Macaca fascicularis: one gene and its partner. The protein of the gene in region 2 purifies or fractionates together with the protein of the main gene of each other region. This does not show direct contact. Links are inferred from orthologs where the notes say so. Each region holds a gene or a part of one and is shown on either strand. Other genes may lie near its edges.

Region 1 (5,601 bases), on a different chromosome or scaffold from region 2:
TGGCTCAAGTCTGTAATCCCAGCACTTTGGGAGGCCGAGACGGGCGGATCATGAGGTCAGGAGATCGAGACCATCCTGGCTAACACGGTGAAACCCCGTCTCTACTAAAAATACAAGAAAATTAGCCGGGCGAGGTGGCGGGCGCCTGTAGTCCCAGCTACTCGGGAGGCTGAGGCAGGAGAATGCCGTGAACCCGGGGGAGCGGAGCTTGCAGTGAGCCGAGATCGCGCCACTGCACTCCAGCCTGGGGCACAGAGCAAGACTCCGCGTCAAAAAATAATAATAATAATAATAATAATAATAATAATAAAAATAAAAATTCAGGCCAGGCGTGGTGGCTCAAGCCTGTAATCCCAGCACTTTGGGAGGCCGAGACGGGCGGATCACGAGGTCAGGAGATTGAGACCATCCTGGCTAACACAGTGAAACCCCGTCTCTACTATAAAAAAAAATACAAAAAACTAGTCGGGCGAGGTGGCAGGCGCCTGTAGTCCCAGCTACTCGGGAGGCTGAGGCAGGAGAATGGCGTAAACCTGCGAGGCGGAGCTTGCAGTGAGCTGAGATCCGGCCACTGCACTCCAGCCCGGGCAACAGAGCGAGACTCCGTCTCAAAAAAAAAAAAAAAAAAAAAAAATTCAAAGGGCGGGGGAGGTGTGAGAAGCTCCCAAAGTTGGCCAAGCCCAAATACTGTGATGTCCATCAAGAACAAGCCACATTAGGAACCAGCTCAAAGAGGCTGTTGGTTTCTCTCTTTTGTCTCTTTGGTACACAGCACATCTGATTCATTCTTTTTTTTTTTTTTCTTTTTTTAAGATGGAGTCTTGCTCTGTCATCCAGACTGGAGTGCAGTGGCACGATCTCAGCTCACTGCAACCTCTGCCTCCCAGGTTCAAGCAATTCTCCTGCCTTAGCCACCCAAGTAGCTGGGACTACAGGCATGCGTCACCACACCCAGCTAATTTTTTATTTTTAGTAGAGATGGGGGGGTTTCACCATGTTGTCCAACTCCTGACCTCAGGATGGATCCGCCTGCCTCAGCCTCCCAAAGTGTTGGGATTACAGGCGTGAGCCATCGCACCCAGTCCTGATTCATTCTTTACCCCGAGAGCCATTCACTTTACCTTGTCCTTGTCCATGACAACACTGGCCACAGGTCCAAATGCTTGGAAATACTCAGAGAGCTGAGCAGAATCCACATCCCTGGGAAAGCCACTGACAAATACACTTCGAAGTCCCTGGGCCTTTCTCGCAGCTCGTAGTTCCACCAGGTGCCGGTGCTTTCTGCCTCCCAAGTGGGCATCAAGGCTGGGTCCTGCAAAGACAAGTGTGAGATAAAAACATCCAAAGCACTCTTCAGCGTGTCTGCCTTTGCTCTCTGCATACCTAAATCTTACTGATCCTTCCAAGCCACAGAAACTGTGACCTTTGACTAAACAAAGTCTTGGCTCCTTTCACCTTCCTCTCTTATACATTTGTCTAAATAGTACATTCTTTTTAAAAAAAATTTTTTTTAAAGTCTCACTGTCACCCCCGCTGGAGTTCAGTGGCACAGTCTCCACTCACTGCAATTTCTGCCGCCCAGGTTCTACAAATTCTCCTGCCTCAGCCTCCTGAGTAGCTGGGACTACAGGTGTGTGTCACCACGCCTAGCTAATTTTTGTATTTTTAGTAGAGACAGGTTCCCAGGAGAACTGGCTACACTATAAGTATTTCGTTTATTTTTACTTAAAGAACTGTGTGATAGTAAAGTCCTTCTTAAACCACCTATTTGTGCTAGGTAGAGCTGGAAAGAAATTAACAGGTAACTTATCCAGGTCATCTACAGAAGAACTAAAAAAATTCAGATCCTAGAATACTTCGTGGATCATCTCTGGACATGGTATGATACAGTGATGTCAAGGGCAGGATCTGAAATCACATTGCCCAAGTTCAAATCCCAGCTCTGTCAAGCTGTGTGAGACCTTGGTCAAGTCATGAAACCTCACTATGCTTCAACTTCCTCAGATATAAAATGGAAATAACAGTATCTAGCACCTCACACACAGGTATTATTCACATGTATCACTTGGCAGAGAGTCAGGTACATGGTAAATGTTGAAAAACTAGCCATTGCTATTATTTTATTATGAGTTAGCTGCTTGATGTCACTAAAGTAAATGTGGGGCCAAGGAAGACTCCTACGTTTCTGGCTTGGCTTACTGGATGAACAGTGATAGTGCCATTCACAGAGAAAAGGAAGAATGGAAGTAGACCCTGTTTAGGGAAGATTGTGATTCCAGACTTCAAAAGTAGGGCCGGGCACATTGGCTCACACCTGTAATCCCAGCACTTTGGGAGGCCAAGATGGGAAGATCGCTTGAGGCCAGGAGTTGGAGACCAGCCTAGGCAACACGGTGAAACCCCATCTCTACAAAAAATTAAAAAATTAGACAAGGCCGGGCGTGGTGGCTCACGCCTATAATCCCAACACGTTGAGAGGCGGAGGTGGGCGGATCACGGGATCAGGAGACCAAGACCATCCTGGCTAACACGGTGAAACCCCGTCTCTACTAAAAATAAAAAAAATAGCCGGGCATGGTGGTGGGCACCTGTAGTCCCAGCTACTCGGGAGGCTGAGGCAGGAGAATGGCGTGAACCTGGGAGGTGGAGCTTGCAGTGAACCGAGATGGCGCCACTGCACTCCCAGCCTGGGCGACAGAGTGAGACTCCGTCTCAAAAAAAAAAAAAAAAAAAAAATTAGCCAAGTATGGTGGTACACGCTTGTAGACCCAACTACTTGGGAGGCTAGCTGGGGGTATCACTCTGCAGCTGAGGTTGAGGCTGCAGTGAGCCGAGATCACACCACTGCACCGCAGCCTGGGTGACAGAGCGAGACCTTGTCTCAAAAAAAAAAAAAAAAAAAAAGTGGAATTTGAAGTTACAGTGAACCCCTTCTCTGTCATACAAGAACCTTGTCCATTTTTCCAAACCCATCTTCTGTCCCTTCCTCACTGGTATCTTATGGTCTAGTCATTCATGCCATCTATTTCATCCGTCCCCGCCTTTGAGTAGGTCCTCTGTAGGGCTTCTCTGATTTAGTTATTGATTCTCTGTGGTCCCACAGTTCTCCAAACATATCTATAAAGCATTGAAACTTTCTCCATCTCTAAACGGTGAGCTCCTTCATCTCTGAACCCCCTTCCCCCACCCTAAAGATCAGCAGAATACCAGGCACAGAGCATATGTCCAATAGATGATGGTTAAAGAAGGAATAAAACAATGAAACGCGTTGTGGAGATTTCGTATACTGAGAAGGAGTGTAATGTGGTGGGACTTTCCCGACTCTCCAAATCCCCTCGGACTTGCGGAGTAAAAACGCAGGTGAGAGACCCTACCAACCGACCTGACAGGAACGATTACCTATAACCCTAACTTTCGCCAGGATCAAAAGACGAAAGCCCGCAACCACCCGGGTCCCTCACTAGCCACCGCTTACGGTTGGCTGTAGTAACGTGGCAGAGGCAGCAGCGGAAACCCCCACGTGGCAGCGATTCGACATCCGAATCCACCGCCGCCATAGCGACTCTCCTGTACCGACAAAAACACAAGCACCTCTGCCACGACCGGAACCCACTTCTCTGAAGCTCAACGCGCTCGGAAGCTACTTCCGCCGGTCCGATAGGAAGTGACATAAGTCGTCCAATTGAGCGGACACACTCCTCCGGAAACCAAGCTCCTTCGACTCCGGGTTCCGTTCCTAGCCGCTGTCGAGTCCCCGCCCGTTTTAGGAAAAGCCGCGCGTTACGATGCTTATCTGCATGCGGCAAGCCGATTGGTGTGCTTTAAGCTGTTCAGGCGTTGATTGGCCCAAAGCGTCGTGAATATTTATGACAGCAGCCACAAAGGCCGGCGCCGGGTAGCGTCTAGCTGCAGCTCCTTCACCCCGCAGTAGATACCCTTGTGTCTGTACCCTCGACCCTTATTTACCCGACGAATAAAGGCAGAGGATCGGCGGCTTCCAATCCTTTGCCCCACGGAGCCCAGGGCTGTTCCTGGACTTCCAACCTTTTCAGGGCTGTTATTCCCTCCCTCCACCCCCTGTCCTCTCGCAAAACGGGTGTTCTGCGACTGCTTCTAGCCCTGGTTGGGGAGCTCTGCCACCACCGGGCACCTTCCGGACTCCACAAGGTCCCTGGAGCCAGGCCCATTCCTTCCGCAGTAGTGGGCTGCGTGGTGTACTCCCGAGGAGCCAGAGCCACTGGCGTACCCCAGAGCAGTGCGACAAGACAAAACCGAGTACCGGTAACTGAGTGAAGACACTGGAGGGGGCGAATGCTGTCAAAGCCCATCTGGTATAATTGTCAGTTCCTCCCAACACCGCCGAGGTGTAGGCTCAGTACAGGGAGGGACTAGAGGAGCTGGGGATGCCCTAGGGACAGGGATCATAAGGAGGTGGAGAGGACTTTCAGATGGGCTCAGCCCACAGCTTTGAATGGCGCAAAGAGCAGTGGACCGAAGGCAGACACCATGGTCTTTGACCTTGAGCGAGTCACAACTGCCGAGGCTGTTCCCCATCTCTAAAGGAAGTGCCCAAGGAGCATATAGTAGGCTGAACTTCTTGTTGTCTCTCCTAAGGTGTTCCTTCTAATGGGCCCTGCTCAGGCATCTAATCTCAGTGTCCCAAACCTTTCAGGCAGGAAACGGTGCTACAGTGGATCAGGGTATCAAGGCAGTTGCTGAGACTGGCCTTGAGGATCCTGAAGCAGCAGGCTGTACACATACACCCAGAGGTGCTCGAGTGGTTCAATGGTAGAATTCTCATCTGCCAAATACACCACACAGCTAGGTGAGGAGATCCTCCTATAACCCCATCACCACCACCAAGGTGGTATACATGTTACCCTGGCTGCCAGCAACTTCCAGAATTCCTTAAGTGAAAGGGAGAGGGGAGTAAGAGGTGGGAAACAGAGGAAGAAACACCCCCATTCTCCTTTCCTATGGAGGCCACCAGTCATCCAGAAAGCTCATCTCAACTCCTTTGAAGGAATCTGGGCCAAGATGGTGCTTGGGCTCCATCACCACTGGGAGCTGGGGAGCAGTTTGGATCCCACAAGAAGGCTAGCTGGAGCAAGCCGCCTCGGTCCAGGCTGCATATCTCATAAAGCTGTTCCCAAGGCAAGAACCATCTGTACCTCCTTTGTTGTCCTTTGTCCTTTATTTTCCCTGTCAAAGACACCCCCAACACACACACAACACACACCCATGGCAAAGAACAGCTGAGCCAGGAGAAGCTGAAGAAAACAGCTTTTTATTTGTTACTATAAGAACCAATTACAGAATCCGAGGTTAAAAAAACGGACAAAAGATCTTTATTTCTGAGAACTGGCGTACAAAAGGCGGAGGGGGAGGGGAGGGAAGGAAAGAGCGAGCATGGCCTGGGGTTGATGCCAGCTTAGGGGCCTCAAACTCCAATTAGGATAGTCCGGACACCGGACAGAAAGAGAAACCCCCAATTAGGAAAAAAAAAAAAAAGACATGGCAGTGCACGCCCCCCTCCCCCAACCAGGTACCACCACCTGTTATCTGTTTACTCTTCCCCTCCCCATCCCCTTTCACAAAGGG
Region 2 (4,941 bases):
CATAACTGCTGAGTGTAGATGCTAGAGTCAGATGACCTAGATTCATTCCTGGCTACATCGTTTACTATCTGTGTGACCTTAAGCAGATTATGTAAACATTCTGAGACTCAGTTTTTCTAGCAGTTAAATGATGGCAGCAGTAGTTTCTGCCTTGTAATGTATGACAGAATAGGATGAGCTATTCTACCTATAACACTTAACACATGCCTGGCATGTTGTAATCCTTAAATAGATGTCATTATTTTTAGTGTTACTATCACCAACCTTACAGGATTATGATAAAGACTGAATGAGAAAAGTGCTTTGCCAAATATGAAATGCCTAACAAGTAGAGGATGTTATGATTTTAGTGATTTGATCTTATTTGGAAGCATAAAATCTCCTATGTGCTTAGTTCAGGTTTTAAGAAGTGAATTTCTGGAACAATGCCAGGTTGTGTAAGATGGATGAAGCATTGGCGTGCTGATGTTTCTTGGTAAAGTCCCTGCTCTCAGCCTCCCCTTTGGTATTAATGCGGGAAGTACTCTTGTCTCGTAGAGCTCTGGCTGGAGTGGCTGCACGACGAGATCAGCATGGCCCAGGACGGCCTGGACAGAGAGCATGTGTATGACCTCTTTGAGAAAGCTGTGAAGGATTACATTTGTAAGTTCCCGTGGACTTTTTTAGGGTATCTGAAAATGTCATGTAGATCAGTCTGCTGTTGAGGACTGTATTATGAGATGCTGCTACCCAGAAAAGGGAACTTTAGTCTAACAATTAGCAAGATTTAAGTTCAATCGTCTTGTCATTGTCTTTGTTCTTTAATTGAGGAAGTGTAGTTTTAAAATAAAAGTGGAAGAAGCGCTTGCAGTAAGGGAATGAGTACACTCACACTCAGGATGTACTGACAGAGCTTACATGGCATTTCCTGGTGATCTTTTATACATTGAATAGGGTTTTAGAGGTTTTGGACAAGATGCTTTAAAAAAAAAAGATGAAAACATTAAAAGAAAACCTTTTTATTTTGAAGTAATTATAGAGTATAGGAAGTTGCAGAAATAGTACAGAGAAGTCTTGTGTACTCACTTTACCCAGTTTCCTCCAATATCTTGTTTCTGTAGTACAAAATCAAAACCAGGAAATTGCCGGGCGCGGTGGCTCAAGCCTGTAATCCCAGCACTTTGGGAGGCCGAGACGGGCGGATCACGAGGTCAGGAGATCAAGACCATCCTGGCTAACACGGTGAAACCCCGTCTCTACTAAAAATACAAAAAACTAGCCGGGCGAGGTGGCGGGCGCCTGTAGTCCCAGCTACTCGGGAGGCTGAGGCAGGAGAATGGCTTAAACCTGGGAGGCGGAGCTTGCAGTGAGCTGAGATCCGGCCACTGCACTCCAGCCTGGGCGACAGAGCGAGACTCCGTCTCAAAAAAAAAAAAAAAAAAAAGAACAACAACCAGGAAATTGACCTTGGAACAATGGGAAAAAAAGACATTTTATTACATGTGTAGATTCATCTAACCACTGCTGCAGTCCAGATACAGAATCGTTCTGTCCCCACAGAGACCTCCCTTGCCTGCTGGTATTGACATCTTACCGGTGCAAGTGGAGTATAGAAGACTCACCTCCCTTTAAGTCTCTTTACTGTGCCCTGTATATAGTATAAGTGTCTTAAATATTTTCTGTATGTGAACTGGGGACCACATCAGACAATGCTGTGGACAAAATGCTATTAAAAAGCGTTTTAAGGCTGGGCGTGGTGGCTCACACCTGTAATCCCAGAACTTTGGGAGACCGAGGCTGGTGGTCACTTGACATTGGGAGCTCAAGACCAGCCTGGCCAACATGGCAAAACCCCATCTCTGCTAAAAATACAAGAATTAGCCAGGCATGGTGGCACGTGCTTGTAATCTCAGCTACTCAGGAGGCTGAGGCAGGAGAATTGCTTGAACTGAGGAGGTGGAGGTTGCAGTGAGCTGAGGTTGTGCTACTACACTCCAGCCTGGGCAACAGAGTGAGATTCTGTCTCAGAAGAAAGCATTTTAAGGTCAGGCTTGGTAGCTTATGCCTGTAATCCCAGCAATTTGGGAGATCAAGGCAGGCAGCTCACTTGAGCCCAGGAGTTTGAAATCAGCCTGCCCAGCATGGGGAAACCCCATCTCCACTAAAAATACAATTAGCTGGGTGTGGTGGCATGTAGGCCTGTAATCCCAGCTACTCAGGTGGCTGAGGCATGAAAATTGCTTGAACCCAGGAGGCAGAGGTTGCAGTGGACCAAGATTATGCCACTGTACTCCAGCCTGGGTGACAAAGTGAGACTCTGTCTCAGAAGAAAAAAAAAAAAAAAGGCATTCTAAAAATTTCCCCTTTCAGACTGGGGGTGGTGGCTCACGCCTGTAATCCCAGAACTTCGGGAGGCTGAGGCAGGTGGATCTCGAGTTCAGGAGTTTGAGACCATCCTGGCTAACACAGTGAAACCCCATCTCTACTAAAAATACAAAAAACTAGCCAGGCGTGGTGGCACACACCTGTTGTCCCAGCTACTCGGGAGGCTGAGGCAGGAGAATCACTTGAACCCAGGAGGCGGAGGGTGCAGTGAGCTGAGATCATGCCTCTGCACTCTAGCCTGGGTGACAGAATGAGACTCTGTCTCAAAAATCAAACAAACAATTTCCCCTTTCAGATTTCATATCCTCTTCCTTGTTGATTTCCCACTGGGAGCAGTCCCTCTTGTGAGAAGCATTGCTGCTTACCATATAGACTGTTCTGAGATAGAGAATTTTTTGTGTATCTTTGCAAGCCAAAAAGAATTCACAATTTTTTGGTTTATAATCTGTATAATGAAAATAAGAGGTGTTTTATGAATATACAAGTATAGTATGTGTGTGTGTGTGTGTGTGTTATCTTTTTTTTCTTTTTTGAGAGTCTCGCTCTCAGGCTGGAGGGCAGTGGTGTGATCTCGGCTCGCTGCAACCTCCCCCTCACCTGAGTTCAAGCGATTTTCCTGCCTCAGCCTCCCAAGTAGCTGGGACTACAGGTGCCTGCCACAACGCCCGGCTAATTTTTGTATTTTTAGTAGAGACGGGGTTTCACCATATTGGCCAGGCTGGTCTCGAACTCCTGACCTTGTGATCTTCCCGCCTCAGTCTCCCAAAATGCTGGGATTATAGGTGTGAGCCACTGCACCTGGCCAAATGTATTTTTAAAAACTATATCTGTACCTCTGCTCTGTGGCCCATGAGTCTTCTTTTAGAACCACTGATAATTTTAGCAGTGCATGGTGTTCCCATGATTTCTGATGATCCTGTTACCCACTTCTTTCTCTCTCACAGCCATTGTTAATAGCACCAGTTATCTTTTTCTGAGGATCTATGGTCTTCCCCAGACTGTAATGTTTTTTGGTCCTTTATGGTCATCTCTGCTGTTAGGCCTTCACTGTCATTTAGTGCTGCTGTCTGAGAACTTTTTTGGTAGGCACATTTCTTTTGTTTTGCATCAGTTTTGATATTTGGGTATTTTATACCCCAAACTAATTGAACACTTCTTATTTTTAGGTCCTAACATTTGGCTAGAGTATGGCCAGTACTCAGTTGGTGGGATTGGTCAGAAAGGTGGCCTTGAGAAAGTTCGCTCCGTGTTTGAAAGGGCTCTCTCGTCTGTTGGTTTGCATATGACCAAAGGACTCGCCCTTTGGGAGGCTTACCGAGAGTTTGAAAGTGCAATCGTGGAAGCTGCTCGGGTGAGTACCTGTGGTTGTCTCTGAACAGGCTGGGGCTGTCTTTGTAAGTCTCCTTGGAAGGATTATTTTGAAACACATGTCCAGGATGAATCTTGCAGTTCATATAGTTAACAAAATGGTCTTTGCCAATCCCTTAGTGGTTGGGTGATAGATAACCTTTTTTATACCCCTTGTAGCATTTGGTTCAATATGTATGGAAGAGGTCGTATACATTTTTTTAGCTTGAACTGAAAATTTGTTGAGATACTTTTTGAAGTAGAAAGAACCAGAGTTGGCCAAGTACGGTGGCTCATGCTTGTAATCCCAGCAGTTTGGGAGGCTGAGGCCAGATGATCTCTTGAGTTCAGGAGTGCAAGACCAGCCTGGGCAATATAGTGAGACCCCATCTCTACAAAACATAAAACATTAGCTGGGCGTGATGGCATATGCCTATGATCCTAGCTACTCAGGACTCTGAGGTGGGAGGATTGCATGAGCCTGGAGCATGAGGCTGTAGTGAGCTGTGATCACACCACCGCACTCCAGCCAGGGTGACAGTGAGAACCCTTCTCAAAAGAAAAAACAAAGAAAGAACCACAGTTTGTTATTTACTACTAATTTGCTTCTTTAGCCCGTAGCTGGCTTCCTTTCCCCTTTTGACCGGGAACAAACCTTTGATTCACAGCTTGAGAAAGTCCACAGTCTTTTCCGGCGACAGTTGGCGATCCCACTCTATGGTAAGAGAAACTGACATGTCAATAGCCAGCCCTCTATGGTTTTTAAAATACTTTGGGGGAATGACATGTAGTTAGACCTTTCCCACCATCCTGTGAGGCAGGTAAAGCTTGTGTTCTTACTGTCCTTGGATATTGTCTCTCGGGATGAGGTCCTAGGTAAAAACATCTTGAATGTTAGTGCTTAAGAGGGTTGTGAGGGTCAGAAGCAGGACTGGAAGCCAGACTCCCTGACTCCTAGGTGAGAGCTCTTTTCTCCTTTGAGACCTAGCTGGAAAGGCAGAGATAGGGTCTCTGAAAGGAATAGTGAATGACACCGGTATTTTTGGGGGAAACGTCATTGAACAAGAGTTCCATTATAATCATTTTCTCTTCATAAGTAACCTCTTCCGTAACAGCAGGAATTTTGCGTGGGTTTAGATCATTCCTCTGTGGGAGGGATTTCGTTCAGAAGTGCAGTTGATTGGAAGTACTCATAAGTGAGTTTCTTGGGGGTTGGTAAAGAGTTTCCTT

The links.
Region 1: the proteins of SART3 (region 2) and TUT1 purify together in Homo sapiens (co-immunoprecipitation; 4 studies listed by BioGRID and IntAct, counting the BioPlex papers as one, with this or other methods). This does not show direct contact. The link is inferred for Macaca fascicularis from reciprocal best matches to the Homo sapiens genes SART3 and TUT1.

The regions. Positions count from the first base shown.
Region 1 is NC_088388.1:11,466,961-11,472,561, reverse strand, and holds the start of TUT1 (speckle targeted PIP5K1A-regulated poly(A) polymerase), read right to left. Parts: upstream 3,619-5,601; 5' UTR 3,558-3,618; coding exon 3,476-3,557; intron 1,313-3,475; coding exon 1,122-1,312; intron 135-1,121; exon of another isoform or gene 53-134; intron 1-52. UniProt on the Homo sapiens protein: Poly(A) polymerase that creates the 3'-poly(A) tail of specific pre-mRNAs. Localizes to nuclear speckles together with PIP5K1A and mediates polyadenylation of a select set of mRNAs, such as HMOX1.
Region 2 is NC_088385.1:115,380,921-115,385,861, reverse strand, and holds part of SART3 (squamous cell carcinoma antigen recognized by T-cells 3), read left to right. Parts: intron 1-537; coding exon 538-642; intron 643-3,530; coding exon 3,531-3,715; intron 3,716-4,325; coding exon 4,326-4,431; intron 4,432-4,941. UniProt on the Homo sapiens protein: U6 snRNP-binding protein that functions as a recycling factor of the splicing machinery. Promotes the initial reassembly of U4 and U6 snRNPs following their ejection from the spliceosome during its maturation.